Linked DNA regions of Anolis sagrei. The protein of the gene in region 4 interacts with the protein of the main gene of each other region in a biochemical or structural test. Links are inferred from orthologs where the notes say so. Each region holds a gene or a part of one and is shown on either strand. Other genes may lie near its edges. The genes, in order: FKBP5, STIP1, PTGES3 and HSP90AB1.

Region 1 (7,642 bases), on a different chromosome or scaffold from region 4:
CATTACCATTCATAACAGTAGCAACATTACAGTTATGAAGTAGCAACAAAAATAATGTTATGGTTGGGGGTCACCACAACACGAGGAACTGTATTAAAGGGTTAGGAAGATTGAGAAATACTGCATTTGTGATCTCATCACACTAGAGAATGAATCTAATTTAAATCCAGTTGCTGCCTCCTGCAGAATTCTGGGGTTTGTAGTTTAGGGAGGATACTTTAACAGCCTCGCTAAACTACAAACCCCAGAATTTTGCAGGAGGCAGAAAGTGAATTTAAACTGGATTCATAGTGTGATGAAGTATTAGGTGAATCTAGAATGAATGCAGATGGACATCACTCTCACTGCCATGGCTCAATGCTATGGAATCCTGGGAGTTGTAATTCTATCCCTTTTAACTGCAAGAGCTCAATGATTTGGAGTTTTACAAGGCCTCCCTTGAGTCTTGTCAAAAAATGCTGTTGCCACCCTAAACGACAACTCCCATGATTCCATTGAGGCACTGAGAGCATAATAAGCATTCATTCTAAGGTGTAGATGCCCCCAAGGCAAGACCCACGACTCCTACTCACCTTTCTAGGTTCTTCGACCACAGCTTCCTCAGGGATGACGGTTTAGTATTCCTTTCCGTGGGGGAAAGGGCCCCTCTAGATGCCCTCTCCGGTTCCCCTTCGCTTTGCTGCCTTTGTGCGTGTAAACACTGGAGCCGCGCGGCTGAGTCTTGGCCGAGAGAGAGAGAAAAAGATCAAGGTTTCGTAACACACGGCGGACCTTCCCGGAAAAACAAAGAAAACATAAACACTCGGGGCGCAATCCACGCCGAGAAAGAGAGGGAGGGAGCCCTCGGGCCCTTGTACCCATCCGGAGAAAGGTGGGACAAAAACACAGCCCATGAACCCAGCCACACGAAGAGCACGTTTTCATCTACACTGTGGAAGTTCAACAGTTTGACACCACTTTAACTGCCATGGAATCCTGGGAGCTGTAGTTTGGTGAGGTCTCACTACTCTTGCCCCCGCCATGATTCCATAGCATTGAGCCATAGCAATGATAGTGGTGACAAACTGCATTCATTCCACAGTGTAGATGCACCCTCAGTCTGCATCCATCCATGTTGACTTTATTATACTGTATGCAGTTATTTGCCAAGGCTCAATGCTATGAGTTGTAGTTTTACAAGGTCTTTAGGCTTTTCTACTGGTGCCTCACCAAACTCCCAATATTCCACAGCACTCAGTAAAGTGGTTTCAAAGTGTGTTAATTCCACAGTGTAGATGCAACTTCAGTCCGCATCCATCAATGTTGACTTTATCATACCGTTAGTATGCAGTTAATTGCCATGGCTCAGTGCTGTGAGTTGTAGTTTTACAAGGTCTTTAGGCTTCTCAACGGGTGCCTGATCTAAGTACAACTCCCAGTATTCCATGGCACTCAGTAAAGTGCTATCAAAGTGTGTTAATTCCACAGTGTAGATGCACCCTCAGTCTGCATCCATCCATGTTGACTTTATTATACTGTTAGTTTGCAATTAATTGTCATGGCTCAGTACTATGAGTTGTAGTTTTACAAGGTCTTTAGGCTTCTCAATGGGTGCCTGATCTAATTACAACTCCCAGTATTCTATAGCTCTCAGTAAAGTGGTATCAAAGTGTGTTAATTCCACAGCGTAGATGCACCCTCAGTTTGTATTCATTCATGTTGATTTTTTATACTGTTATGCAATTAATTACATTGGCTCAGTGCTGCGAATTGTAGTTTTACAAGGCTTCTCAGCAGGTGCCTGATCTAACTACACCTCCCAGTATTCCATGGCACTTAGTAAAGTGGTATCAAAGTGCATTAATTCCATAGTGTAGATGCACCCATCCACGTTGACTTTATTATACTGTATGCAGTAAATTGCCATGGCTCAGTGCTCTGAGTTGTAGTTTTACAAGATCTTTAGGCTTCTGTACTGGTGCCTGATCTAACTACACATTCCAGTATTCCATAGCACTCAGTAAAGTGGTACCAAAGTGTACTAATTCTACAATGTAGATGCACCCTCAGTCTGCTTCCATCCATACTGACTAGAAAACAGGATGATTCTCATGGAGCATCTACACCAGGCATGGGCAAACTTCAGCCATTCAGGTGTTTTGGACTTCAACTCCCACAATTCCTAGCAACCTACCAGTTGTTAGGAATTGTGGGAGTTGAAATCCAAAAGACCTGGAGAGCTGAAGTTTGCCCATGCCTGATCTACACTGTAGAATTAATGCACTTCAACACCACTTTACTGAGTGCTATGGAATACTGGAAGTTGTAGTATGGTGAGGCATCAGTAGAGAAGTTTTAAAATCTTGTAACACCTTGTTAAACTACAACTCATAGTATTGAGTCATGGCAATTAACTGCATACAGTCTGAATGGTCAGGTTAGGAGAAGAGAGGCACTGTAGAATTAGTGCACTTTGACACCACTTTACTGAGTGCTATGGAATACTGGGAGCTGTAGTTTGGACAGGCACCAGTAGATAAGGCTAAAAACCTTGTAAAACCTTGTTAAACTACAACTCATAGTATTGTGTCATGGCAATTTACTGCATACAATCTGAATGGTCAGTCATTCGGGTTAGGAGAAGAGAGGCTCTGTGGAATTAAGACAGTTTAATGCCACAGATGCAGATTGAGGTGGCATCTCTGCAGTAAAATTAATGCACTTTGACACCACATCAATGAGTGCTATGGAATACTGGGATTTGTAGTTTGGACAGGCACCAGTAGAGAAGGCTAAAGACCTTGTAAAACTACAATTCAGAGAATTGAGCTAGGGCAATTAACTGCATAACAGTATAATAAAGTCAACATGGATGGCTGCAGATTGATGTGACATCTACACTGTAGAGTTAACACACTTTGATACCACATGGCTGAGTGCTATGGAATACTGGGTGTTTGGTGAGACACCAGTAGAGAAAGCCTAAAGACCTTGTAAAACTACAACTCATAGCACTGAGCCATCTACACTGTAGAACCAATACACTTTGAAACCACTTTACTGAGTGCTATGGAATACTGGGAGTTGTAGTTTGGTGAGGCACTAGTAGAGAAAGATGAAGACCTTGTAAAACTACAACTCATAGCACTGAGCCAGGGTAATTAACTGCATAACTGTATAATAAAGTCAACATGGATTATGCAGATTGAGGTGGCATCTACACTGTAGAATTAACACTCTTTGAAATCACTTTATTGAGTGCTATGGAATACTTGGAGTCAGGCCCGTAGCCAGGATTTCGTTTGGGGGGGGGGCTGAATTTTTTTCAGGGGGGGTTTCAGGGGGGGCTGAGTTTGGGGGGGGGCTGAGTCTGAGTGAAAGAGGGTCTAACCTAGCAAACCTTTTGCATCATTACCCCAATACCCCCATGCATATGGGATATATTGAGCATGGTGATCAGATCGTGATATGAATAAACATAACAGTTTAAATAATGCACCAGTAAGGCCTTTTCGTGAACCACCATGAGAATTTCGGGGGGGGGGGGGGGGCTGAAGCCCCTCAAGCCCCCCTCCCCCTGGCTACATGCCTGCTTGGATTTGTAGTTTGGTGAGGCACCAGTAGAGAAAGCTGAAGACCATGTAAAACTACAGCTCATAGCACTGAGCCAGGGCAATTAACTGCATAACAGTACAATAAAGTCAACATGGATTATGCAGATTGAGGTGGCATCTGCACTGTAGAATTAGCACACTTTGATACATTACTGAGTGCTATGGAATACTGGGAGTTATAGATTGGTCGGGCACCTGTAGAGAAGGCTGAGGACCTTGTAAAACTACAGCTCATAGCACTGAGCCAGGGCAAGTAACTGCAAAGGAGTATAATAAAGTCAACACGGATGGATGCAGACTGAGGCTGCATCTACACTGTAGAATGGAGGCAGTTTGACACCAGAATGCTTTCCACAGTGTTATAAAGGATGTGAGGCGCAGGGGAGAGGACACGTGTCTTCATTTTGCACCGAGTAAGTGACACGCGAGTTCTATCCCACTCCAGAGACAAGTTGGGACCCCTTCCCTCAGGCAGCGGGTTGTGAAAAAAGGAAGGCGGTGCCATGTTTTCACACAAACACACACAAAAGGAGAAGCGGCCAATGGCGGGGAAGCGGTACCCGGACGGACAGGGGCGGGGGCCAATGGGAGCGCGAGGCGGGGCTTCACCCGGGGGGGACTGGCGGCCAGCGCCGGTAGCGGGTGTCATTCTCGGCAGGAGCCACAGAGGGAGGAGGAGGAGCGGCGGGGCGAGGAGCAGGTACCCGTGGGCCATTGGCTGCCTTCCCGGCTCCGTGGAGAGGAAGAGGCGCGCTGGTTCCCAAGGGGAGGGGGCCCACCTTGTGCCCAGAGAGCGCCTTCCCCCCTCGCGGTATCAGCCCATCCATAACTCTTCCAAGAGGCGTCGTAGGGAAGCATTGCTATCGCTGTGAGTGAGGAGGAGACGCTGCTCGTAGGCTGAGGAAAGGGGGAGCAAGGCTGGAACTGGAGGGGGAAATGTGATACCATACTACGCTTGGGATAATAGATCCATCTCTGCATTGTCGAAGGCTTTCATGGCCGGAATCGCTGGGTTGCTGTAAGTTTTTCGGGCTGTATGGCCATGTTCGCTCCTGAGACCTCACAACCTCTCGGAGGATGCCTGCCATAGATGCAGGCGAAACGTCAGGAGAGAATGCTTCTGGAGCATAGCCAGACAGTCCGGAAAACTTCTACAACCCAGATCCATCTCTGCTTCTTCCCCTTCCTGCTTTGCATGTGTTGTTGTGTTCTGTACTCCGTGTGTTTTCTGTTCTTCCCATTGTACAAACTCCACGTTTACCACGGAGGGAAAAGTTAATGATGTCTTGTCGAAGCTTGTTGTGAGTTTTCCAGGCTGTATGGCCATATTCCAGAAGCATTCTCTTCTGTCGTTTCTCTCTCTTGTTTTGGTGACTTGAGAAACTGCAAGTCGCTTCTGGTGTGAGAGAATTGGCCGCCTGCAAGGACATTGCCCAGGTGATGCCAGGATGTTTTGATGCTTGACCATCCTTTGTGGGAGGCTTCTCTCATGTCCCTGCATGGGAAGCCAGAGCTGACAGAGGGAGCTCATCCGCGCTCTCCCCGGATTCGAACCTGTGACCTGTCGGTCTTCAGTCCTGCCGGCACTGTACCACCAGGGGCTCCTGACTTTTCTCTCAGGCAGTAAGAAGCCAGAACTTGAAACTGCTAGGCCATTCAATGTTAATCAAGGTGGCCAATGATCAAAGGCCTGGAGACTATGAATCCCTATGAGGAGTGTCTTGAAGAGCTAGGGAATGTTTAGCCTGCAGAAGAGAAGGCTGAGAGGAGATAGTAGCCATGTATAAATATGTGAAAGAGTGCCATAAGGAAGAGGGAGTAGGCTTCCTATCTTCTGCCCTGGAAACTAGGACTCGGAGTAATGGGTTCAAATTACAGCAGAGGAGATTCCACCTGAACATTAGGAAGAACATTCTGGCGGTATGAGCTGTTCAATAGTGGAACTCTTTGCCTTGGAGTGTAGTGGACGCTCCTTCATTGGAGGCTTTTAAACAGAGGCTGGATGACCATCTGTCAGGGTTGGAAAAAGTGGATTGAATAATAGAATTATAGAGTTGGAAGAGACCTCGTGGACCATCCAGTCCAACACCCTGCCAAGAAGCAGGAAAATTGCATTCAGAGCACCCCCAACAGATGGCCACCCAGCTTCTGTTTAAAAGCTTCCAAAGAAGGAGCTTCTACCACACTCCAGGGCAGAGAGTTCCACTGCTGAACAGCTCTCACAGCCAGGAAGTTCTTCATAATGTTCAGGTGGAATCTCCTTTCTTGTAGTTTGAAGCCATTGTTCCGCATCCTAGTCTCCAGGGCAGCAGAAAACAAGCTTGCTCCCTCCTCCCTATGAATTAGTCTCACATATTTATACATGGCTATCATGTCTTCTCTTGGTCTTCTCTTCTGCAGGCTAAACATGCCTGGCTCTTTAAGCCGCTCCTCATAGGGCTTGTTCTCCAGACCCTTGATCATTTTAGTCGCCCTCCTAGATGGCCCATGTGCTCTCTTCCAACTTGTATTATTCTAATTGAAACATTCACATCTCCCTCTAACAGACAAGAGTTCTTTCTCCCACCTTGGACCTTCCACGGATATTTAAACCCCATTTTCCTAGTTTCCAACAAACCTCACAACCTCTGAGGATGCCTGTCATAGATGCAGGCGAAACGTGAGGAGAGAATGCTTCTGGGACATGGCCACACAGCCCGGAAAACTCACAAAAACCCAAAGTTAATGATGTTGTGATGAGCCGTCCTCTCTCTTCCTCTCTCTCTCCTCTTGGTGCCTCATCTTCATTATGTAAGGAGGAGGTGGAGAATAACAGGCTTTTCTCCCCTCCTTTTGAGGGAATTTCAGATCTCATATTACTTTCTCTCTCCCCCCCCCCCCCCCCTTCTTCATATTGTCAGGAAATTGAAAAGATAGCAACCAGAGGTTGGTTGGTTTGTTTATTGGAGGGAAAAGAGGCGTTTTGTTTTCCCCATTCAAACCCGCCGTCAGCTAACTCCGTGGGCTTCCCAAGCAGACCTCACAACCTCTGAGGATGCCTGCTATAGATGCAGGCAAAACGTCAGGAAAGTATGCTTCTGGAACATGGCCATACAGCCTGGAAAACTCACAGAAACCCGGTGATTCTGGCCATTAAAGCCTTGGGAAATACATCTTTTGTAGTTTGTGGGTCAATGTATAACACTTCTTGATGTCATACAGGTAGTCCCCAAGTTACGGATAAGATAGGTCCTGTAGGTTTGTTCTTAAGTTGAATTTGTATGTAAGTCGGATTTATTTACATTTGTAAGTGTAACTCCAGTCTGTCTGTATGTCTGTCTAGACAAGGCTTGGGCAAACATGAGCCCTCCAGGAGTTTTGGACTCCAACTCCTACCATTCCTCACAGCCTCAGGCCCCTTCCTGAGGCTGTGAGGGCCTGAGGCTGTGAGGAATGGTGGGAGTTGGAGTCCAAAACACCTGGAGGGAGGGGCGAAGTTTGCCCATGCCTGGTCTATAAGCTTTGGGCAGTATACAAATAAAGTATTATTATTATTGAAAAATTGGTTTGTTGTTGAAACAGGGATTGGTGATAAAGCTTCAATTGAGACTCCTTTTCCCCAGGATAACTCTTCCAAGAGTGATTTTCCCTTCCAAGGGGTAGATTTCTCTCACTTCCTGTTGTCTCACCTCTGTTCTTAACTAGGCGTCCTTTGTAACTCAGGGATTGTCCATACAATTATTGTTCTTCTGTTGCATCTGTGCTCTCAAGCCGCCTGTAAATTTTTGGTGACCCCAACAATGTCTTCCGCGAAGAATACTTTTCACAGTCTTTCCTCTGAAATGTAGCCTCCATTTTTGGTCTCCCATCCAAATATTGACCAGGGCTGGCCCTGCTTAGCTTCCAAAATCCTCCAGAATCTGGAACCCTTTAGGGCAGAGCTTTCCAGGCACTTCCTGTTGGAGACAGTTTTTAGACACGCGTCATTTTGCAACACAGTAATTCAGTTTTTGGCAATTTTACCTCAACCCTGCAGGCTGCTAAATAATGTGACTTATTTTAAGCATTTC
Region 2 (8,210 bases), on a different chromosome or scaffold from region 4:
CTTCACAATGAGAGAGATGATGGGGAAAAATGCTAACAGGGACAAGTGCAAGATATCCAAGTCGCTCTTGGGCTGAGAGGGGCGGTATAGAAATGTAGTAAATAAATAAATAAATAAATAAAATACTCCACTTAGGCAGAAAAAATGAAATGCAAAGATACAGAATGGGGGAAATGCCTGGCTCGAGAGCAGTACGTGTGAAAAAGATCTTGGAGTCCTCGTGGACAACAAGTTAAACATGAGCCAACAATGTGATGTGGCGGCAAAAAAAGCCAATGGGATTTTGGCCTGCATCCATAGGAGCAGAGTGTCTAGATCTAAGGATGTCATGCTCCCCATGCTCTATTCTGCCTTGGTTAGACCACATCTGGAATATTGTGTCCAATTCTGAGCACCACAATTGAAGAGAGATATTGACAAGCTGGAATGTGTCCAGAGGAGGGCGACTCAAATGATCACGGGTCTGGAGAACAAGCCCTATGAGGAGCGGCTTAAGGAGCTGGGCATGTTTAGCCTGAAGAAGAGAAGGCTGAGAGGAGATATGATAGCCATGTATAAATATGTGAGAGGAAGCCACAGGGAGGAGGGAGCAAGCTTGTTTTCTGCTTCCTTGGAGACTAGGATGCAGAACAATGGCTTCAAACTACAAGAGAGGAGATTTCATCTGAACATGAGGAAGAACTTCCTGACTGTGAGAGCCGTTCAGCAGTGGAACTCTCTGCCCCGGAGTGTGGTGGATGCTCCTTCTTTGGAAGCTTTTAAGCAGAGGCTGGAGGGCCATCTGTTGGGGGTGCTTTGAATGCAATATTCCTGCTTCTTGGCAGAGGGTTGGACTGGATGGCCCATGAGGTCTCTTCCATCTCTTTGATTCTATGATTCTATCTGTGTGTGAATCATATCTATCTATCTATCTATCTCTATCTATGGCTGGATGGCTCTTTATCAGGAGGACTTTGATTATGTTTTCTTTCCCTGATGAAGGGAGTTGGATTGGATATCCTTAAGTATTTTCTGTGGGTCATGGGGGTTCTGTGTGGAAAGTTTGCCCCAATTCTGTTGTTTGTGAGGTTCAGAATGCTCTTTGATTGTAGGTGAACTGTGAATCCCAGTGACTACAACTCCCAAATGTCAAAATCTATTTCCCCCAAACTCCATCTGTGTTTATATTTGGGCATATTGAGTATTCGTGCCAAGTTTGGTCCAGGTCCATCATTGTCCACACTAGATGTAGGTGAAGTACAACTCCAAAACTCAAGGCCAATGCCCACCAAACCCTTCTAGTGTTTTCTGTTGGTCAAGGGAGTCCTGTGTGCCAAGTTTGGTTCAATTCCACCATTGGTGAAGTTCAGAGTGCTCTTTGATTATAGGTGAACTATAAATCCCAGAAAGTACAACTCCCAAATGACAAAGTCATAGTGTTTTGAGTGATGGTCACTCCTTGTGTTGTGAGACGTTTTGTTGCCAAATTTGGTGTGATTTCATTCATTGGTTCTTTTGTTTTTAAGGAACTTATTAGGCACAAAGCATTGTTATATATAGATATAGATAGATAGATAGATAGATATAGATATAGATAGAAGATATAGATATATAGAAGATACATTATTACATTATATTACATTATAATATTCTCAGTAGAATCAGAGTTGGAAGAGAACCCCATATAGATAGATATAGATAGAAGATATTGATATATAGATATAGATAGATAGTAGATAGATAGATAGAAGATTGTATTACATTATAATATTATCAGTAGAATCAGAGTTGGAAGAGAACCCCATAGAGATAGATAGATATAGATAGAAGATATAGATAGATAGATAGATGGAAGATAAAAGATTGTATTACATTATAATATTATCAGTAGAATCAGAGTTGGAAGAGAACCGCATAGAGATAGATATAGATATAGATAGATAGATAGATAGATAGAAGATAGATAGAAGATAGTATTACATTATAAGAGTTGGAAGAGAACCCCATTTAGATAGATAGATACAGATAGAAGATAGATAGAAGATTGTATTACATTATAATATTATCAGTAGAATCAGAGTTGGAAGAGAACCGCATAGAGATAGATATAGATAGATAGATAGATGATAGATAGATAGATAGAAGATAGTATTACATTATAAGAGTTGGAAGAGAACCCCATTTAGATAGATAGATATAGATAGAAGATAGATAGATAGAAGATTGTATTACATTATAATATTATCAGTAGAATCAGAGTTGGAAGAGAACCCCATATAGATATAGATATAGATAGATATATAGATATAGATAGATATATAGATAGATAGATAGAAGATAGATAGAAGATAGTATTACATTATAAAAGTTGGAAGAGAACCCCATATAGAAAGATATAGATAGAAGATAGATAGATAGAAGATTGTATTACATTATAATATTATCAGTAGAATCAGAGTTGGAAGAGAACCCCATATACATAGACAGATATAGATAGAAGATATAGATATATAGATATAGATAGATAGATAGATATAGATAGATAGAAGATTGTATTACATTATGATATTATCAGTAGAATCAGAGTTGGAAGAGAACCCCATATAGATATATAGATATAGATAGATAGATATAGATAGAAGATAGATAGATAGAAGATTGTATTACATTATAATATTATCAGTAGAATCAGAGTTGGAAAAGAACCCCATATAGATAGATAGATATAGATAGATTGATAGAAGATAGATAGAAGATAGCATTACATTATAAGAGTTGGAAGATAACCCCATTTAGATAGATAGATAGATATAGATAGAAGATAGATAGATAGAAGATAGTATTACATTATAATATTATCAGTAGAATCAGAGTTGGAAGAGAACCCCATATAGATAGAAGATATAGATAGCAGAGAGCAGATATAGATATATATAGATATAGATAGAAGATTGTATTACATTATAATATAATCAGTAGAATCAGAGTTGGAAGAGAACCCCAAAGGGCCATCTAGTCCATCCCCCCTTTTGCAAGGCAGGAAGACACCACCCAAGCCCTCCCGACAGATGGCCATCCAGCCTCCGAGTCAAAACCTCCAGAGGAGGAGACTCCATGTTTTGCATTGAAGTGGATTATTATTATTATTTCATATTCAAAGATCCTCTCAACTCTGGAGGCCCTGCTTTTGACCCCCTTTCTCTCCACCAAGAGGAATCCCCCCTTGAAATCTGACATTCACACGTTCTGTGAAGCTCCCCTCCCAGGCCCACGCTTCCCTTTCCCGCCATGCCTTGCGCGAACCCACTTCCGTTAAGGGGACCCCCTCCGAGCCCCTCCCCCACCCCACGCGGCCTTCCCGAGATCCTTTGCGTCCCCCTCAGGCCCCCTTTCCCCCCTCCACCCGGCTTCCCCGCCACACCAAGCTAGGCCCGACCTTCTCCATCGCGCCGGCCGGACTTCCTCGCTGCCACTTCCCTCACTGAGTCGAGCCGCCTGCTTCTCTTCCCACCCCGCCTTCTGGAACCTGCTAGAACCCTCTAGCCCCGCCCCTCGACGCTCATTGGCTCTTTCCCTTTAACTTGGACACGCCCCTTCTATACACCCAAACGGATTCTATTCCTGTCCGTCTTCCGAAATCCCGCCTTCCTCCTCGGCTCCGCCCACAATTGGCGAGCTAAAATGCGATTGGGTAAATGAGCGGGAAGGGGCGGGACTGAAGACCTGTCCGTCTTCCGAAATCCTGCCTTCCTCCTTGGCTCCGCCCACAATCGGGAGCTAAAACGCCATTGGATCGCTGAGCGTGAAGGGGCGGGGCTGAAGACCTGTCCGTCACTCTTCCTGTCCGTCTTCCAAAATCCTGCCTTCCTCCTCGGCTCCGCCCACAATCGGGGAGCTAAAATGCGATTGGGCCACTGAGCGTGACGCGTCGTGAAGGGGCGGAGCTAAAGACCTCTCCGTCTCCCTTCCTGCCCATCTTCCGAAATCCTGCCTTCCTCCTCGGCTCCGCCCACAATCGGGGAGCTAAAATGCGATTGGGCCACTCAGCGTGAAGGGGCGGAGCTAAAGACCTGTCCGTCTCCCTTCCTGCCCGTCTTCCGAAATCCTGCCTTCCTCCTCGGCTCCGCCCACAATCGGGGAGCTAAAATGCGATTGGGCCACTCAGCGTGAAGGGGCGGAGCTAAGGACCTGTCCGTCTCTCTTCCTCTCCGTCTTCCGAAATTCTGCCTTCCTCCTTGGCTCCGCCCACAATATGGAAGCTAAAATGTGATTGGGCCGCTGAGAGTGACGAAACGTGAAGGGGCGGAGCTAAAGACCTGTCCGTCTTTCTACCTGTCCGTCTTTCGAAATCCTGCCTTCCTCCTCGGCTCCGCCCACAATATGGGAGCTAAAACGCGATTGGGTCACTGAGAGTGAAGGGGCGGAGCTAAAGACCTGTCCGTCTCTCTACCTGTCCGTCTTTCGAAATCCTGCCTTCCTCCTCGGCTCCGCCCACAATCGGGGAGCTAAAATGCGATTGGGCCACTGAGCGTGACGGATCGTGAAGGGGCGGAGCTAAAGACCTATCCGCCTCTCTTCCTGTCCGTCTTCCGAAATCCCGCCTTCCTCCTCGGCTCCGCCCACAATATGGGAGCTAAAACGCGATTGGGTCACTGAGAGTGAAGGGGCGGGGCGTACAAAAAGTAAGGCGGATTTCTCTGCCTTTCCAAGATCCCGCCTCCAGCGTTTCATTGGCCAGCTATAGTGTATTCTAATTGGACGGGAAAGGTGGAGACGTCAGCGGGAGGTGCTCCCATTGGCTGAATTTCCTCCTCATTGTTGTCATTAGCTTGCCGCATTTTTCCAGCAAAGACTTTACTGAATGGGAGAGGGAGAATTATAGAATCCTAGAGTTGGAAGAGACCTCATGGGCCATCCAGTCCAACCCCATTTTGCCAAGAAGCAGGAATATTGCATTCAAATCACCCCTGACAGATGGTCATCCAGCCTCTGTTTAGAAGCTTCCAAAGAAGGAGCCTCCACCACACTCCGGGGCAGAGAGTTCCACTGCTGAACGGCTCTCACGGTCAGGAAACTCTTAAATGATAGAATCCTAGAGTTGGAAGAGACCTCATGGGCCATCCAGTCCAACCCCATTCTGCCAAGAAGCAGGAATATTGCATTCAAATCACCCCTGACAGATGGCCATCCAGCCTCTGTTCAAAAGCTTCCAAAGAAGGAGCCTCCACCACACTCCGGGGCAGAGAGTTCCACTGCTGAACACCTCTCACAGTCATCCAGTCCAACCCCATTCTGCCAAGAAGCAGGAATAATGCATTCAAAGAAGGCTGAGAGGAGATATGATAGCCATGTATAAATACGTGAGAGGAAGTCACAGGGAGGAGGAGGGAGCAAGCTTGTTTTCTGCTTCCTTGGAGACTAGGACGCGGAACAATGGCTTCAAACTACAAGAGAGGAGATTTCATCTGAACATGAGGAAGAACTTCCTGACTGTGAGAGCCGTTCAGCAGTGGAACTCTCTGCCCCGGAGTGTGGTGGAGGCTCCTTCTTTGGAAGCTTTTAAGCAGAGGCTGGATGGCCATTTGTCAGGGGTGATTTGAATGCAATATTCCTGCTTCTTGGCAGAATGGGGTTGGACTGAATGGCCCATGAGGTCTCTTCCAACTCTATGATTCTATGATTCTATGAAAGCACCCCTGACAGATGGCCATCCAGCCTCTGTTTCAAAGCTTCCAAAGAAGGAGCCTCCACCACACTCTGGGGCAGAGAGTTCAACTGCTGAACGGCTCTCACAGTCATGGGCCATCCAGTCCAACCCCATTCTGCCAAGAAGCAGGAATATTGCATTTAAAGCTCCCGTGACAGATGGCCATCCAGCCTCTGTTTAAAAACCTCCAAAGAAGGAGCCTCCACCACACTCTGGGGCAGAGAGTTCCACTGCTGAACGGCTCTCACAGTCAGGAAGTTCTTCCTCATGTTCAGATGGAATCTCCTCTCTTGTAGTTTGAAGCCATTGTTCCATTGCGTCCTAGTCTCCAAGGAAGCAGAAAACAAGCTTGCTCCCTCCTCCCTGTGACTTCCTCTCAAATATTTATTTATTACTAGCCGTTTCCTGCCACGCATTGCTGTGGCCCAGTTTGATGATCTGGAAAATAAAATAATGAGAAAGTGTTGGTTTCTAATATATGTAATTTCTTTCTGCTTGTGGGTAAACAGTATTTCTTGCTGTTTCTTTGTCAGTGTTGATGTGGAGAGTGTCTGGATTGCCCACCCTGGAACATACAACATATCATTGTCCTTCTTTAAGGATCCCTTTCAAATCTATGATACTATATCTCTGTGTGTGTGAATCATATACATCTATCTATATCTCTACCTGGATGGCTCTTTGTCAGGAGGGCTTTGATTATGTTTTCTTGCCCTGATGAAGGGAGTTGGACTGGATGGCCTTAAGTATTTTCTGTTGGTCATGGGGGTTCTGCATGGGAAGTTTGCCCCAATTCTGTCATTGGCGGGGTTCAGAATGCTCTTTAATTGTAGGTGAACTATAAATCCCAGTACAGCCCTCAGTGGCACAGTGGGTTAAAGCACTGAGCTGCTGAGCTTGTTGATCGAAAGGTCACAGGTTCGATTCCGGGGAGCAGCGTGAGCTTCCGCTGTCAGCCCTAGCTTCAGCCAACCTAGCAGTTCGAAAACATGCAAAATGTGAGTAGATCAATAGGTACCGCTCCTGCTGGAAGGTAACGGCACTCCACGCAGTCATGCCAGCCACATGACCTTGGAGGTGTCTACAGACAACGCCGGCTCTTCGGCTTCGAAATGGAGATGAGCACCACCCCCAGAGTCAGACATGACTGGACTTAATGTCAGGGGACAACCTTTACCTTTACTAACTACAACTCCCAAATGTATAAATGTATAAATATGTGAGAGGAAGCCACAGGGAAGAGGGAGCAAGCTTGTTTTCTGCTTCCTTGGAGACTAGGACGCGGAACAATGGCTTCAAACTACAAGAGAGGAGATTCCATCTGAACATTAGGAAGAACTTCCTGACTGTGAGAGCCGTTCAGCAGTGGAACTCTCTGCCCCGGAGTGTGGTGGAGGCTCCTTCTTTGGAAGCTTTTAAGCAGAGGCTGGATGGCCATCTGTCAGGGGTGATTTGAATGCAATATTCCTGCTTCTTGGCAGGGGGTTGGACTGGATGGCCCATGAGGTCTCTTCCAACTGTTTGATTCTATGATTCTATGTCAAGGTCTATTTCCCCCAAACTCCATCTGTGTTCATATTTGGGCATATGGAATATTCGTGGCAAGTTTGGTCCATACGGAATGTTGGTGGACAGGAAAAGAGATTGAAAGATGGGCTCAAAGCCAACCTTTAAAACTCTGGCATCAACACTGAGAACTGGGAAGCCCTGGCCCTTGAGTGCTCCAGCTGGAGGTCAGCTGTGACCAGCAGTGCTGCAGAATTTGAAGAGGCACGAATGGAGGGCGAAAGAGAGAAACGTACCAGGAGGAAGGCGTGTCAAGCCAACCCCAACCGAGACAGCCTTCCACCTGGAAACCAATGACCTCACTGTGGGGGAAGATGCAGGTCAAGAAAAGGGCTCCACAGCCACCTACGGATCCACAAGAATACTAATCATGGAAGACTATCCTACTCGTCCAATGAGGCATCCCCTAAGTAAGTAACAGGAGAAAAAAAATCCCAAATTCCACTTGGGTCAAGGCCCAAGTGGAATATTTGGCTTTTTGGCTTGGATATGAAACTGTAGGACAGGCAGTCATCAGCCATAAGAACGCTGAATGTTTTAATTAAGTCTAATTTTTTTCCCAAAATGTTATGTGACGTATCTTGGGGGAATTTTACCTACAGACTCAACTCCGTTCTGTTGACATTTTGCTTTGCTCTGGGCAGGAGAGGAATTAATTTCCCTCTATAATTAGAAAGCATGGCTTCTGGCTTGGCCTGGTGGTACCCTTGGCAACCTACCTAAAATTAGCCCAGCCGGCCGCACCGAAAAAGAAAGAGAGGCCGTTTGCTCCTTAGCTCAATTTTGGTGTGTTGAATTGTTTCATGGAAGAGGAGGAAAGGAGGTTGGAAAGGGACACAATAGCCACAAATATTCAACATAATATCCCATTGAGTGGACAAGTTCCCCAAAGGCCATCTAACCCAACCCCATTCTGCCAGGCAGGAACATACCAGCAAAGCCCTCTTGAACAAGGGGT
Region 3 (7,944 bases), on a different chromosome or scaffold from region 4:
AAATGGGAATTGTTATGTAGCTTGGAGATCTTAATATGCCAATATACTTGGATGCTTCTCAACACATGTAGAAACTATAGAAAAGACTCCAATTTTAATTATTGATGAAAGTGATTGAAGGCCTAAGGAAGATATATTGCCAAACCTCATTTGCTGTTAAGATGGCTGTTGTGAACACATTATCCATACACTCCCAATTTTACAGTTGCTACTGAAAAATCACTCCAACGAATAGATCCATTGTGTGAAGAATTTCATCAACTTCTGCTTGTTTCTAAACCTTTAATGAAACTCTTGCCAAGTGTAGATTTCTCCTCACGTTTTTTAACATATTTGTTATTCAACAAGTGATATTATTATCCTAATAGGAATAGGCATGTTTCATCCATACTTCACCAATTATTTTACAAGTCCTCTTCTCTCAGTTTTAAATACTGGTCTCTCAACTAATTAGATATGGTTAGGAATATTGAAAAACTATTACAATCTTATAACAATTGTATATTATATATTACATGTAATATTACTAATAAAATTGCAGTATAGTGGCATAGTACAATACAGTACTATATAGTACTAATATTGCAGTGTGCTAATAATATATATATAATATTGTAATACTAATATATTAAATATAATTACTACTGATAATATATAATATATGTTAGAAACAGTATCATACGAAAGCTGACTGGCACAACCTGGGGATCACAACCAGATACAGTGAAGACATCTATCCCTGTGCTATGCTACTCTACTGCTGAGTATGCATGCACAGTGTGAAACACATCTCACCATGCTAAAACAGTAGATGTGGCTCTTAATGAGACATGCCACATTATCATCGCGTGTTTGCGCCCTACACCACTGGAGAAACTACACTGTTTAGCCGATATTGCACCACCTGACATCTGCCAGGAAGTAGTAACCAATAGTGAAAGGACCAAAGCAGTGACATCTCCGGCCCACCCCGTTTGGGTATCAGCTAGCATGCCAACGACTTAAATCAAGAAATAGTTTTCTAAGATCTACAGAGACACTCGCTGGAACACCTCAGCAAGCGAGAGTCCAAAAGTGGCAGGCTCAAACTCAGAACCTCAATCAATGGCTGATACCAAATGAGAGACTCTCTCCTGGGCACACAGAAAACCGGGCACCTTGGAAGGCACTGAACAGACTGCGCTCTGGCACCATGAGATGCAGAGCCAACCTTAAGAAATGGGGCTACAAAGTTAAATCCATGACATGCGAGTGTGGAGAAGAGCAAACCACAGGCCACCTACTCCCATGCAACCTGCGCCCTGCTACATGCACAATGGAGGACCTTCTTGCAGCAACACCAGAGGCACTCCAATTGGCCAGCTAGTGGTCAAATGACATTTAATAGAATACCAAGTCTGTGTTTTTTTGTTTTTTAATGCAATACACCTGTTTTGGTTCGCTCTTGACACGATAAATAAATAAATATACTGTTTAATTATAGTATATTTATAGTATATTTTAAATTGTAATGTTTTTGATTCTAAGCTGGGATAAAAATAAATAAATAATCCATGTTTTTAAAGTAACATTTCTAGGACACCACATTAATTCAATTTCTAGCCTCATATGCTGCACTGGTATCTTCTCTCACTAATTTTGCACCTTGCTTTTCTTTGTCCCCTTTTCTCCTGACTTCATCTCTCACTCTGGGAGCCTCAAAAGAAAGTGACTCCAACCCTCTTTTCAAACTCACAACAAAACTTGGGTCACAACTTAGACCAGCAACCATTTCCCATCTCTCAGCACATGTTTTAATTTACTCCACGAGACAACTGAATCGCCTGTTGCCAGATTTTATCCTAACCATTACCTTTAACTCCTGTATCCTTTGGGCCCATCAGTTGCATGGCCCAGATTTGTTCAGGCTGTGTTCAAAGAAACATCTCATACTCTCCAGTATAAAGATTTGATAGTGTATTTAATAGAAAATGAGAGTGCTCTGTAAAACCCCAAGGGTTTTCTTCAGATGGAGAACAAACTATCTCCACATGAAGGGGTCCTTCTCCCAGGGCCCTTCCATACAGCCATATAACCCAGAATATAAAGGCAGAAAATCCTACACTATCTGCTTTCTTTAAATACCAATATGTACATATATGTGTACACACATATATATGTGTGTGTGTATGACTGATATATGAGATAGCCTAAAGTCACAAAGGGGGATTTCATATACATTATATATAAGAAATAAGTTCATGTTATGTGTGAAAAAAAAGTAAATGGTGTCCAATATCATATCATATCATTTTAAATACAATTAAAAACATAACATATAATAAAATCTAAACATATAAAAGTAATATTAAAACCTAACATCAGTACATTATACCTGACATCAACAAATTACACTATATGTAGTAGGCAAAAATCTAAAATAACATAAATCTAAACAAAATATCCACATTAGTTTTGTGAGCCCAGCAAGCAAGGGTTCACAAAACCCAACCAGCAAGGGTTCACGAAACGGTGTGGGTTGGTTATATAGTCAGATGAGGTCACTGGGCTGGTGTGGACCAAAAAAAAGCCGAAATACAAATAGTACTCAACCAGAGGCCCGGCAATGATCTCTCGACCATCTAATCCTCCTTCCCCGGAATATTTTCCCTTGGAATATTTTCAAACTGGGCGGGTGTGGGGTTTGAACCCGTGGATGCCGGATCCGTGCAGCCTGTCGATATGAATAAGAGAACCCGGCCCATCTCCCGCCCCGGCGTCCTCAGGAGACGCCTGCTGCCCTCATGCCTTCCCTCCTTCCTTCCTGGCCCAGCCATTGCTCTGCCAACCCCTCCTCACTCACTCACATGGCAAACGGTGTTAACAGCAGCGGCGGCGGCGTGAGTCTTCTCCGCTCTGTCCTCCGTCTCCCTCCAGAGAGCTAGTCCGGGGAAGCCTTCTTCTCCCAAGGGCGCAGGGCTGAAGGTCCCTCGGCAAGGGCGAGAAAGCGCGGGCGAGGGCAACGGCGCCTCCTTCCTTCCTTCCTTGCCTCCTTCCTTCTCTCCCTCTCCAGGCTCAAAAGCCGAGTGAGGCCTGCTACCCACAAAGCACCGCGCGCTCACCCGCCCGCGCGCGCGCTCTCCCTGGCTCCCTCGCGCTCCTTCTCCAACGACGGCTCCCCAGAAGCTGGTGACGCAGCAAAACGCCCACCCCTCCCTCTTCCCTTCTCCCTTCCTTCCTCCCTCTTTCTCTCTCTCCCTCCCACTGGAGCCCGTCCGACTATGGACGCTGACAAGGGCGCATGCGCACCACTCGCCACCTCCTTGCCGCTTCGCCCTCCTCAACGGCGCGCACCTACCACAAACGGCCGGATGTTTCGTTCTCGCGCATGCGCTCCCTCGTCCTCTGCCTTGCGCACGCGCAATTCCATCTTTCGAGCACGTTCTCTCGAGGCGCCTCCGCCCGTTGGGCCGGGCCGGCTCGCACCCCCGGCGCATGCGTAGTTGCACTTTTCGCGCATGTTCTCCCTCTCTCTAGGCTTGCCAAGCTTCCAAGCACACTCCGGCGCATGCGCCGTAGAAGAAGACGAGCCTGTTCTTGATATTTGCCTCCCCCCACCCTATAAATTGTCAACCAGGTGAGAAAATTAATTCTGCTGGTGAAGTTGAATATTCATAATCATTTATGTCTGATGCTTTGTGTGCATTCAAACAATCAAGTGCATATTCAAAGCCACTGTGTGCACTACTGGGTTGTGTCTTTTCCGGGCTGTAGGCCATATACCAGAAGCATTCTCCCCTGACGTTTCGCCTGCATCTATGGCAGGCATCCTCAGAGGTTGTCACAATATGGGCATATAGCCCAGGAAACACAACAACCCAGTGATTCCGGCCATGAAAACCTTCTAGAACAGTGGTTCTCAACCTACCTAATGTCGCGACCCCTTAATACAGTTCATTATGTTGTGGTGACCCCCAACCATAACATTATTTTCGTTGCTACCCCATAACTGTAATTTTGCTACTGTTATGAATCGTAATGTAAATATCTGATATGCAGGATGGATTTTCATTCACTGGACCAAATTTGGCACAAATGCCTGATACGCCCAAATTTGAATACTGGTGGGGTTGGAGGAGATTAATGTTATCATTTGGGAGTTGTAGTTCCTGGGGTTTATAGTTCGCCTACAATCAGAGAGCTTTCTGAACACCAACAATGGAATTCTATCAGACCTGGCCATACAGAAATACCATGACCAACAGTAAATGCTAGAACGGCTTGATGGGCATTGACCTTGAGTTTGGGAGCTATAGTTCACCTAAATCCAGAGTGCACCCTGGACTCAAACAATGATCAATCTGGACCAAACTTGGCACGAACACTCAATATGTCCAAATGTGGACTCTGGTGGAGTTTGGGGAAAATAGACCTTGACATTTGGGAGTTGTAGTTCCTGGGATTTATAGTTCACCTACAATCAAAGAGCATTCTGAAGCCTACCAAACGATAGAATTAGGTCAAACTTCCCACACAAAACCCCCATGACCAACCATAATACTGTGTTTTCTGATGGTCTTTGGTGACCCCTCTGACACCACCTCGTGACCCCCCCAGGGGTCCCGACCCCCAGGTTGAGAAACACTGTTCTAGAAGACATTGTGTGCACTATGTTGATTTGCTGCAGAAAAAAGGAAGAAAATTGTGTTTGATCCATTGAGTGACCCACACAAAAACTCAGAAGTGAAATAAAGCAGAATTGTTTTTAAAATAGCATAAAATATACATTATTGAGTAGATAGAGATACAGTTAGAGACATGGACCTAACAACATGCTTCAGATCATGAGTTTTTCTCCAAGGACATTTTCATTTAGTCCTTATTGGTGCTTCACAATGTACCAGTATATTGTTAGATGCAGTAGTCAATATTCTAGGTGTGTCTGCTAAAGCCGGCAGTCAGTCTGTCTGTTTCCAAAGGTATTATAAAAACAGTTCCAATCTCACCACAGAATTATTCATGAACACTGTTCCCAACACAAGACCGGGATTCAAGCCAGAGAATACATTACAAACTGGAGGGAGAAAGAATAAGGAAAGTAAAACAGATAGATGAAATGTTTTTTAAAACCTGATTATCCAGCATGTTGACATTTCTGAGGGATAACCATATCCCTACTTTGTTAGCTGGCCCTGATTGTTTCATTCGTGTTTGGGTGCTGCATTTGGGGGTCCTTATGTAGACTTGTCCACAACTGCATGGTATACAGTAGACATTTGCAGTTACAGAAAGGAGGAAACTATGAAAATGAACAAAATGTGGCTACCAGTATTAAAAAACTTTAAAATCAGAACAATACATTCAGAGGAACACTAAAAAAAGGGGAATTTCAGACAGAAAACCAGGGCCAGATAACCCCTCCCAACAAAGGATTCCCCAGACAGGAAGCAGACAGGCTTTGAAGCTGCAAGGTCATTAAATACAGATCAAGGTGGCCAGTTGCAACATTCACACCTGCCTCAAGCAGACGAGAGCTCTTTCTCCAATCCTGGACATTCCACAGATATAGATACCTCACTTGCCTAGTTTCCAATGTACCTCACAACCTCTGAGGATACCTGCCATGGATGTGGATGAAAGATCAGGAGATAATGGTTCTGGAACATGGCCATACATCCCAGAAAACTCACAGCAACCCAGTGATTCCGGCCACAAAAGCCTTCAACAACACAATAATCACCTCTCAGGGTCTCAAAATCAGACTCAACAAGGAGAGTCCGGAGCCCTGGCGAGACAAGTGAAGCACCCCAGATTTTTCCCTAATTTTTCCCAAGTAAAGTCTCACCAAGTTGAAGAAAAGCCACCGAGTTGTATTTATTTTGTCCCAGCTGGTACAGATGTCAAACCGCAATCTCTTGCCAAAGTCGACATGTTTGGGAAGGGAGAAAAGGGTACATTTTATAGAAAATACAGAGTTGTCAGATTCAAACTTCCCGCCCCCTGCCCCTCTGCTGGCTTCGCGCTGATTGGCTGGAGTCATCAGCTGGAGGGAGGTGCGGCCGGCTTAGGCACGCCTCAGCCAATGGAGAAGCCAGCACTGCTTCAGCTCCTGAGCCAATGGAAGTCGAGGAGGCGATACAAGCAGGAAAACAATTAACCGAGAGGAAAATGAGTGGATTAAATGGAACTTAATGGTTTGTCCGATGGCCGGCAATAATCCGGACACTCCTCAAGATGGCCTGGTATTGTCCAGTAGTGTTGAAATATACAAAAGTGGCTGGCACAGCTGCCCAACCTTGATAATCTTCAGTTAAGGATATGGGATCAATTGATGATATCTGTGTGTGGATTTCAGCCGAGGGTGCAAAACAATGAGTGAGTCGGATGGGACATCCTGATCTTCCCTGAAGGCAAAATGTCCCATTGTTGACAAGTGACCAGGTTCACCATGGGGTGCCTTCCTGGGCGGTCATGCTCCGAGACCCAGGATGCACCATTGTTATTGCCATGCAATAAATCTTTGTTGGAGTCCTTAAGTCAATGGGGAATTCATCTCAGGAAATAGGAATTTCCCAAGGGTTTGCCATGCTGGGGTCACGAAAAAGTGGCTTTCCATATTTTTATACATAGACACATATATGGGGTTCATACAGCATGCACAGGGGAAAAGGGGGAAAAGGAAATTAATATAGAGAGTCATAGAGAGTCCAATATCATGAAGTTCATAGAGAGTCCAATATCATGAAATCATATAGTCCCTAAGTCATAAAAGGGAGTCCATGGGGCTTGGGGAAAGAGTTCCAGAAAGTTTCCAAAATGTTTTAAAAGTTGATAAAAGTTGTAAAATCCACAGGAGGCAAGTTGGAAAAGGTGCCCCAGAGTCAGAGTTCTTATGAGGTGACTGCCAGCACTGGAGATCAAGATCCACGGAGAGAACTACAGATCCTTCCTCACCAAGGACCAAGGCGGCCTGCTGATATCTTGGGTATCCTATGGGGTGACCGCGACAGTTTTCCAGGATCGGCAGGCTCACTGGGCATCCATAAAATGGTGGCAACGAGGCAGTATCTTCAGGGAAACAGCTGGGCTCCAGTTTGAGGTTTTGGAGGCAAAAATTGTTATTCCCGGGGCGGAAGGCTTAGTGGAGCGAAACTGAGATAGCCATTAATCTTAGAATTCCCCCGGAGAAGAATGGCACTGATTTTGAAGCGATCCGTTGACTCACGGATACAGGGGCCCAATGGGTTTACGTATCTACCGTTCAGAGGAACGCAGTTTTGGCCTCCCCAGGACGTGAAAATTGCATCCTGGGCAGGCTGGCAGCCATCTGCAGCCTGGGAGAGGAAAGATTTATACTGAGACGAGTTTGGAGGCAGTAAAAGACACAAAGTAACACTATTGAGAGAGAAAAAAATACAATTAATTGGTACTTTATTGGGGGGATTAGTTACAGTGTTAGGAAGGGGAAGAAAATGAAGTAATAAGAAGGCTTCTGGGTTGGAGCTGCTGCTGTGGCCACATTCATGGAGGCTGGCCCAAGTGGGACAATAGAGAACTGAGGAACTCCCTGCTGCAGGTCAGATCAGCTTGAAAGCAGGGAATTCTAGGTTTGACCTCAGTTTGTTGTAACATGCCCTTTGCAAGCCCATTATTTCCAAGCAGGCAAAAATTATAAATAAATAAATAGGGGTTATCAAAGTGGTGGACATGGATATACCAAAGCCAATATGTAAGGGAAGAATTGGAAAGCGCAGCTTGGCCATACCCAGCTCCAGAAGCAGAGGAAAGGCTTTCTTCCATCCCAACTACTCAACAGAGGGAGAGAAGAAACAGGCACATCTCCATCATGCCAGGCCCAGAAGCAGAGGAAATCCCCCTACTGTCCTAGCTACCACCTCCCTGGCCCCCTGAGGAAGAGAGGGAGAGGCAGACAACAGCTCCATCATGCCAAGGCCAGACACATCT
Region 4 (8,021 bases):
ATTTGAAAGAGCTAGCTTATAGAATACGTATTAATGTTTATACTGGAAGGTATGTACAACTCATTCATTTCTTTTTCGATTCCTGTAAAATGTATTCAGATGGATTTGGACGTAGTGATTCTAGGATAATATTACAGTTTTTACACTCAATACAATCACAGCATAATTTATTGGAAATTGTGATTGCCCATCTCACAATACCCTGAAAGATCATGCTACTGTCTCTGCAATGTGAGTGGAATTTATACCTGTACAAAGTATCAACAGAATTCTGGTCCGCTGTACTATACAACATGACTATGTATCATAATAATGCCTTGATGCTGTGAAAGAGCAGGCTGCTAGATGTCACCTAGCAACATCCTGCATTTGGACACCACCTGTGGCCCTGTTGAGTGGGACCTACATGCCATCATGCATGAGGACAGGCAACAAAATCCTTTTCCTCCACTACCCATAGCATAGAAAGCAAGTGGGCTTGAAATTTGTCCTCCTTTAGCCAGCACCGTGACAGTGAAGGATTATTTACAAAGCTGATCTAGAAAGATCACTAAATAAGCTCTGTGTGAACTGCTATCCTGTTGCTATGCTACATAGACAAACTTGGTACATCAGCCCTCCACATTTGAGGGCTTAATTAATATGGCTTCTGTAGGAAACACAAGGTCCTCCAGTGCAACTGTGGACCGACCAGTTGTTGTTCTGGAGGAACTAGAGATTTCTAAACAGAACATGTCTCTAGAGAGATCTCTGTCCTCCCACACAACTCTATTACCAGTTTCCAGTGGATGTTGACTATATAGAACTAAAAGACAGATGCCTAGAACTGTTCTCTTGGCATTTTATAAAAAGTGTTTTTTTTTTTCATTTTGTGGGGGTCCTATGCTCATAATGCCAGAAAATATGGAGGGTTGATTATATTGCTAAGCTGATACAATGTAGATCGAGTTCAGGTGGTGAGATCTTGGCAGTCTTGTTCTTGAGTCCTTATTTGGAAAGAGGTGGGATCAAAACTAAAATGAAGTAAAGAAAATTGTTGGGATTTCTCTGAATTGAAACTTTTTTGTTTCAACCTGTCAGTATCAGATTTTCACTTTTCCCTTCTTCCAATGTAGGGTTTATGGCTTTTTCTAAAATATGCATTCGCCCCATTGAATAAACCTATTTTGAGTTGCATCCCATAGACTCTTTAAGGTTTGTAGTTTGGAGAGGTATGGCATTAGTTTTCAAACTTTTGGCCCTCCAATTGGTTAAAAAAAATTTCTTTTTGCATATTTGCATGTATATAATGAGGAATCTCAAAGATAGGACCCAACCCTAAACATGAAACTCATTTGTTTTTCATATGTACCTTTATATGCAGTTTAATTTTACACAGTATTTGAAAAATAATTTTGTGCATGAAACAAAGTTTATATGCATAAACTGAAGGCAGTTTCATACACAATATTTTAAAAATAAATTTGTGCATGAAAGGAGGTTTGTGTACACTGAACCAACAGAAAACAGAAATGTCACTACCTCAGCCACACATTTCAGTACCACCAACAGAAAAAAGCACCCATGAGTCTAAGGCACAAGCCATTATTAAAAGATGTTTATGAGGGGAAAACTGCATCATAGAATTGAATAAATGTGTGTGTGTGTGTAAATAGATGTCTGAAACTCCAGGTTTTCTCAAGTTTACCATTTGTAATGCTATTTTCTCTTCTATGTTATGCACAAGTGTGTGTGTGTGTGTGTGCATATTCTTTTTTTAAGTATAGTTTTAGTAAAGATCTTTAATTTTTACATGTATGTGTGTATCTACAAAAACCTGTGCATGTATACACATTGTAGATGCGAGGAATCCCTCCCCTGTAGTCTCAAATAGAAAAGGTTTGTGAATGTACACCTTTTCTACTGGAAACTAAAGCACGCATGAGCAAACTTCGTCCCTCCAGGTGTTTTGAACTACCAAGTCCCACAATTCTTAACAGCCAGTTTGCCCAAGCTAGGAATTCCTCATGTCCACAATTAGTAACAATTAGTAGTAAAACTATTTTCTCTTCTTTTTTAACTATATACATTTGTATGCATATCTATCTATCCATCAATAACTGCATATGTATGTATGTGTGTGTGTGTGTGTGTGAGAGAGAGAGAGAGAGAGAGAGACAGAGAAACTTTATTTTTGAAACCCAAAGCTAGGAATTCATCATGTGTGTGACGAGCAATATTTTCTCTTTGGCTACGTATGCATCTCTTACATATATGTGCGTGCACACAATTGTGGCAGTACTTTCGTTTAGGTTCTCTCTCTCCTATGAGCTATATCTGTATATATGCATGTGGGTAGGCACGCACTCTCTCTCCCTCTACATATATATATATGTACACACATGTGCTCTATTTCTGTGGGTAGGCACGTGCTTTTGCTTTCACTCTCCACATATACATATATTAGCCACCCCCTGCCATGCGTTGCTGTGGCCCAGTCTGTGTATATGTGTTTTGTGTATGTGTATATATGTGTGTTTGCATATGTATATATATGGTTTTGCACATGTATTGTAATGTATTTTTTATTTTTACTTTTTAAGTCTCTTCTGCTGTGTTTTTCAGTGTATTTATGAGTGACGGTCACTTGTTGGCCTGATATGTGTATTGTGTCCAAATTTGGTGTCAATTCGTCCAGTGGCTTTTGAGTTATGTTAATCCCACAAACGAACATTACATTTTTATTTATATAGATCCTAGCCGTCCCCTGCCACACGTTGCTATGGCCCATTCTGTATATATATGCTTTGTGTGTATATATATTTGTGTATATGTGTGTGTGTTTGCGTCTATATATATGTTTTTGCTCATATGCTGTAATGTATTTTTTAATATTTTTTTTTGGCTTTTGAAGTCCCTTCCGTTGTGTTTTTCAGTGTTTTTATGAGTGATGGTCACTCGTTGGCCTGATACGTGTATTGTGTCCAAATTTGGTGTCAATTCGTCCAGTGGTTTTCGAGTTCTGTTAATTCCACAAACGAACATTACATTATTATTTATATGGAAGATAGATGCGTACACACATGTGCGCCATGTATCTCTGCTTGCCTATTCCACAAAGAGGCGCGTTGTCGCAATCCAGGCCTGGCAGCAGGGAGGAGGCGGCCATGCCCACGCGTTTCCCTCCCTCCCTTTCCACGCGAGGGAGCTCCCTCGCTCCCCCCTCCCCAATCCGCCATTGTCGCAAAGGCCTCCCTCGCCTCCTTTCCCTGCCTTGTTGTATTCTGGGGGCGACCTGCTTGCTTTCCGTCTTTCTCTAAGCCTTTCTTTCCCTCTTTGCTTTCCTTCCCTGAGGGCGGCTCAGGAGGTGAGGCACGGCGAGGCCGAGGCCTAGCTCCAAAGGCTCCCTCAGGGACGGATTCCTTTCTTCTGAGGGCGCCTCCTGACCGGGAGCGGGACTCATTTTTCCCCCTCCCTCCACTCTCAGAGCCGGGGGCGATTCCACTCCGCTCCTCCATCTTCCTCCGAGGGGGAGAAAAGGACCGACCTTGATGGCGGGCGGGCAGACGGGCGGGAGGCGAGCCTTGAGCGCGGGGCGGCCTTCGGAGCAAGAGAGCCGGGAGAGGAGGCGGGAGCGCGCGGGCCCCCCTTTTATATCCGCCCGGCCCGGCCTCGCGCCGCTCGCCCCTCGGCTCCTTCCGCCTTAAAGGGGCCGCATCCCTTTGGAGGAGGGGAAAGAGTGCCTCTGTACACTGTGGAATGGAGCACTTTTATAGAGCACGGAACTATGGCAGCTGAAGCGGGGTCGACCAGGCCTGGCCAAACTTGGGCCCTCCAGGTGTTTTGGACTCCAACTCCCACCATTCCTAACTGCCTCAGGCCCCTTCCTTTTCCCCTTCAGCCACTAAACAGATGTTGACCATTTCCACTACCTTGGCAGCCACCTCTCCACCAAAGTCAACATCGACACCGAAATACAACACCGCCTGAGCTCCGCGAGTGCAGCATTTTCCCGAATGAAGCAGAGAGTGTTTGAGGACCGAGACATCCGTAGGGATACCAAGGTGCTTGTCTACAAAGCTATTGTCCTCCCAACCCTGCTATATGCCTGTGAAACATGGACTGTCTACAGACGTCACATGCAACTCCTGGAACGATTCCATTAGCGCTGCCTCCGGAAAATCCTGCAAATCTCCTGGGAAGACAAGCGGACAAACGCCAGCGTGCTGGAAGAAGCAAAGACCACCAGCATTGAAGCGATGGTCCTCCAACAGCAACTCCGCTGGGCCAGCCATGTTGTCCAGATGCCTGACTACCTTCTCCCAAAGCAGTTGCTCGACTCTGAACTTAAGAACGGAAAACGGAATGTTGGTGGACAGGAAAAGAGATTTAAAGATGGCCTCAAAGCCAACCTTAAAATCTCTGGCATAGACACTGAGAACTGGGAAGCCCTGGCCCTTGAGCGCTCCAGCTGGAGGTCAGCTGTGACCAGCAGTGCTGTAGAATTCGAGGAGGCATGAGTGGAGGGCGAAAGAGAGAAACGTGCCAGGAGGAAGGCGCATCAAGCCAACCCCGACTGGGACCGCCTTCCACCTGGAAACCAATGCCCTCACTGTGGGAGAAGATGCGGATCAAGAATAGGGCTCCACAGCCACCTACGAACCCACAAGGAAACGCATAATGGAAGACCATCTTACTCGTCCAACGAGGGATCGCCTAAGAAGAATACTAAACAGATCATAAAGCATTGTCCATAGAAATTCTGAAGACTATTTTGTGCAGAAATGGAAGGTAGCAGTCAGGTACATAATATGGCCTGCACTATATACCAGCCTGAGGAATGCAAGGCTGGGATGAAATTGCTGGAAGAAACATTAACATCCTTAGATATGCAGATGATACCACTTTGATGGCCGAAAGTGAGGGGGTGCAGAGGAGCCTTCTAATCAAGGTGAAAGAAGAAAGCGCAAAAGCTGGGTTGCAGTTAAACATCAAAAAAACCAAGATTGTGGCAACAAGAATGATTGACAACTGGGAAATAGAGGGAGAAAACGTGGAGGCCGTGACAGACTTTGTATTTCTAGGTGCAAAGATTACTGCAGATGCAGACTGCGGCCAGGAAATCAGAAGACGCTTACTTCTTGGGAGGAGAGCAATGTCCAATCTCGATACAATAGTGAAGAGTATAGACATCACACTGGCAACAAAGATCCACATAGTTAAAGCAATGGTATTCCCCATAGTCACCTATGGATGTGAGAGCGGGACCATAGAGAAGGCTAAGTGAAGGAAGAAAATTAACTTGAAATGTTGCAGTCTCGTGTAATATTGAGTGTTGCTTCTGTAAAGGATTGTTCCCTTGTTCCCCGTAGTAACCTATAGATGTGAGGGCTGGACCATAAGGAAGGCTGAGTGAAGGAAGACAGGTGCTTTTGAACTGTGGTGTTGGAGGAAAATTCTGAGAGTGTCTTGGACTGCGAGAAGATCCAACCAGTCCATACTCCAGGAAATAAAGCCCGACTGCTCATTGGAGGGAAGGATATTAGAGGCAAAGATTAAGTATTTTGGCCATATCATGAGAAGACAGGAAAGCTTGGAGAAGACAATGATGCTGGGGAAAATGGAAGGAAAAAGGGCAGACCAAGGGCAAGATGGATGGATGGCATCGTTCCATCCATCTGAGGACAGGGAGTCTGGCGTGGGCTGGCCCATGAGGTTACAAAGTCAGCTGCGACTGAGCGAATAAACAACAATTGAGTGTTGGGGGGGGGGGGGGAAACCAAATGCCACTATTGTGTGTTGTTTTGATGTATTTTAAACAATTTTATTGTTTTTAAAATAGTTCTAAATTTAATTCTATTTTCATGTGTTGTCAAAGGCTTTCATGGCCAAAATCACTGGGTTGCTTTGAGTTCTCTAGACTGTATGGTCATGTTCCAAAAGCATTCTTTCCTGATGTTTCTCCCACATCTATGGCAGGCATCCTCAGAGGTTGTGAGATCTGTTGGAAACTAGGCAAGTGGGGTTTTATATATCTGTGAAATGTCCAGGATGGGAGAAAGAACTCTTGTCCACTTGAGGCAAGTGATTAGCATTGAATGCCCTTGCAGTTTCAAAGGCTGGCTGCTTCCTGCCTGGAGGAATCCTTTGTTTTAATGTTGAAAACTCACAGCAACCCAGAGGTTTATACTCTCAGTCAGGTATTGCTTTTACCTGATTTAATGTTACATTGTATTATAATGCTTTTACCATTGTTCATTACTTTGAGTCTCTTGACTCAAATCAGAAGATAAGCAAATATAGTAATAGTAAATTGGCATTGTCGGTTGTTTACACCATTTACACATTTCCAATACCATACTCTTATTATATTGTCAAAGGCTTTAATGGCCAGAATCACTAGGTTGCTGTGTGTTTTCCAGGCTGTATAGCCATGTTCCAGAAGCATTCTCTCCTGATGTTTCTCTCGCATCTATGGCAGGCACCCTCAGACATTGCGAGGTCTGTTGGAAATTAGGAAAACCATTTTCCTAGTTTCCAACAGACCTCACAACCTCTGCGGATGCAAAGGACGCAAAACAATGGCTTCAAACTGCAAGAAAGAAGATTCCATCTGAACATTAGGAAGAGCTTCCTGTGAGAGCTATTCAGAAGTGGAACTCTCTGCCCTGGAGTGTGATGGGGACTCTTTCTTTGGAGGCTTTTAAACAGGCTGTCTGGCCATCTGTCAGGGGTGCTTTGAATGAGATTTTTCTGCTTCTTGGAAGGGGGTTGGACTGGACGGCCCACGAGGTCCCTTCCGACTCTATGATTCTAAGTAGTTTGTTTTCTGCAGTCTTTGTTTTCTTCTCCAGTTTGACTTTTGGAGAACTGTGCTTGGAGAAAGAGGTGATGGCCCTCTCTGCTGATGCTTTCCTCTGCAATGGTGCTGCTTCTCTTGTGGGGCCCACCAAGACCTTTCCCATTTAAAGGGAAGAGCCATGGGCGGCCCTTCCTGGCGGTGACTCATAACCTCGCCTCTTTTTCGCCCATCTTTTAATAACCACATTATCGTCAATGGAGACCAGGAAATAACGCGAGCGCTAATTATTATTATTCTCTGAAGGCGCAGGGCTTTCAAAAAGGAGAAAAGAAGCAATTCTTTCTTAAACCACAGCATCTTGGCTCGGAAGCTCTGCTTGCTCTTTCCTCAGGAGGGCTGAACATGCTTTCTAGACACGCTCTGACGCAGGCTTGCTCCTATTGTAGGCCTCTGCTCTTCTGCGCATGCGCCTGATCACACAATTATTTCCCCCCTCCTTCCTTGAGAGCTTTCGTTTCTCTCCAGCTCCATCTTACAACGTGCTCTCCGCGCGCATGCGCATTTCCCCTCACGCAAATGGGGCGGAGCGAAGAGCACCTGTTTCTGATTGGAGCGCAACGGCGAGGCGAAGGGGATTCTTTCCTATGATATAGACGGCGGAGGGAGACGGCTGCTTGTGCTGCGACTTCTTTCTAGCATTTTCCAGAGGGCGCTTTGTCCCCCTCCTTCTCTGACGCCTTTCGGGTTCCTCTCGTTCTAGGAGGTCCCTGAGAGGGAGGGGGAGAGAGAGAGAGGGGGGGGGGGAAGGGCACACTCTCTCAGCCTCAGGGGTAGGCCCCGCCAAAGCGCTGCTGGATCAATCTGGCCAGGAAAGCCATCAGAGAAGGCTTCCATAGGCCCAAAACGGCATGAAGGCCCACAGCCAGGCCTCTAAGGGCGGAACGGGGTTTACACCCTGGACATTCATAGAAGAGACCTCATGGGCCATCCAGTCCAACCCACTGCCAAGAAGCAGGAATATTGCATTCAAAGCACCCCTGACAGATGGCCATCCAGCCTCTGTTTAAAAGCTTCCAAGGAAGGAGCCTCCACCACACTCCGGGGCAGAGAGTTCCACTGCTGAACGGCTCTCACAGTCAGGAAGTTCTTCCTCATGTTCAGATGGAATCTCCTTTCTTATAGTTTGAAGCCATTGAAGTAGGTTCCACGTCCTAGTCTCCAGGGAAGCAGAAAACAAGCT

The links.
Region 1: the proteins of HSP90AB1 (region 4) and FKBP5 interact in a biophysical measurement, tested with the Homo sapiens proteins (2 studies listed by IntAct). The link is inferred for Anolis sagrei from reciprocal best matches to the Homo sapiens genes HSP90AB1 and FKBP5.
Region 2: the proteins of HSP90AB1 (region 4) and STIP1 form a complex in vitro, tested with the Homo sapiens proteins (2 studies listed by BioGRID and IntAct, with this or other methods). The link is inferred for Anolis sagrei from reciprocal best matches to the Homo sapiens genes HSP90AB1 and STIP1.
Region 3: the proteins of HSP90AB1 (region 4) and PTGES3 form a complex in vitro, tested with the Homo sapiens proteins (3 studies listed by BioGRID and IntAct, with this or other methods). The link is inferred for Anolis sagrei from reciprocal best matches to the Homo sapiens genes HSP90AB1 and PTGES3.

The regions. Positions count from the first base shown.
Region 1 is NC_090024.1:186,143,483-186,151,124, reverse strand, and holds the start of FKBP5 (peptidyl-prolyl cis-trans isomerase FKBP5), read left to right. Parts: upstream 1-4,227; 5' UTR 4,228-4,293; exon of another isoform or gene 4,294-4,461; intron 4,462-7,642. UniProt on the Homo sapiens protein: Immunophilin protein with PPIase and co-chaperone activities. Component of unligated steroid receptors heterocomplexes through interaction with heat-shock protein 90 (HSP90).
Region 2 is NC_090032.1:15,947,645-15,955,854, reverse strand, and holds the start of STIP1 (stress-induced-phosphoprotein 1), read right to left. Parts: upstream 3,530-8,210; 5' UTR 3,425-3,529; coding exon 3,416-3,424; intron 1-3,415. UniProt on the Homo sapiens protein: Acts as a co-chaperone for HSP90AA1. Mediates the association of the molecular chaperones HSPA8/HSC70 and HSP90.
Region 3 is NC_090022.1:137,197,045-137,204,988, reverse strand, and holds the start of PTGES3 (prostaglandin E synthase 3), read right to left. Parts: upstream 3,184-7,944; 5' UTR 2,849-3,183; coding exon 2,847-2,848; intron 1-2,846. UniProt on the Homo sapiens protein: Cytosolic prostaglandin synthase that catalyzes the oxidoreduction of prostaglandin endoperoxide H2 (PGH2) to prostaglandin E2 (PGE2).
Region 4 is NC_090021.1:48,270,991-48,279,011, forward strand, and holds the start of HSP90AB1 (heat shock protein HSP 90-beta), read right to left. Parts: upstream 3,630-8,021; 5' UTR 3,527-3,629; intron 1-3,526. UniProt on the Homo sapiens protein: Molecular chaperone that promotes the maturation, structural maintenance and proper regulation of specific target proteins involved for instance in cell cycle control and signal transduction. Undergoes a functional cycle linked to its ATPase activity.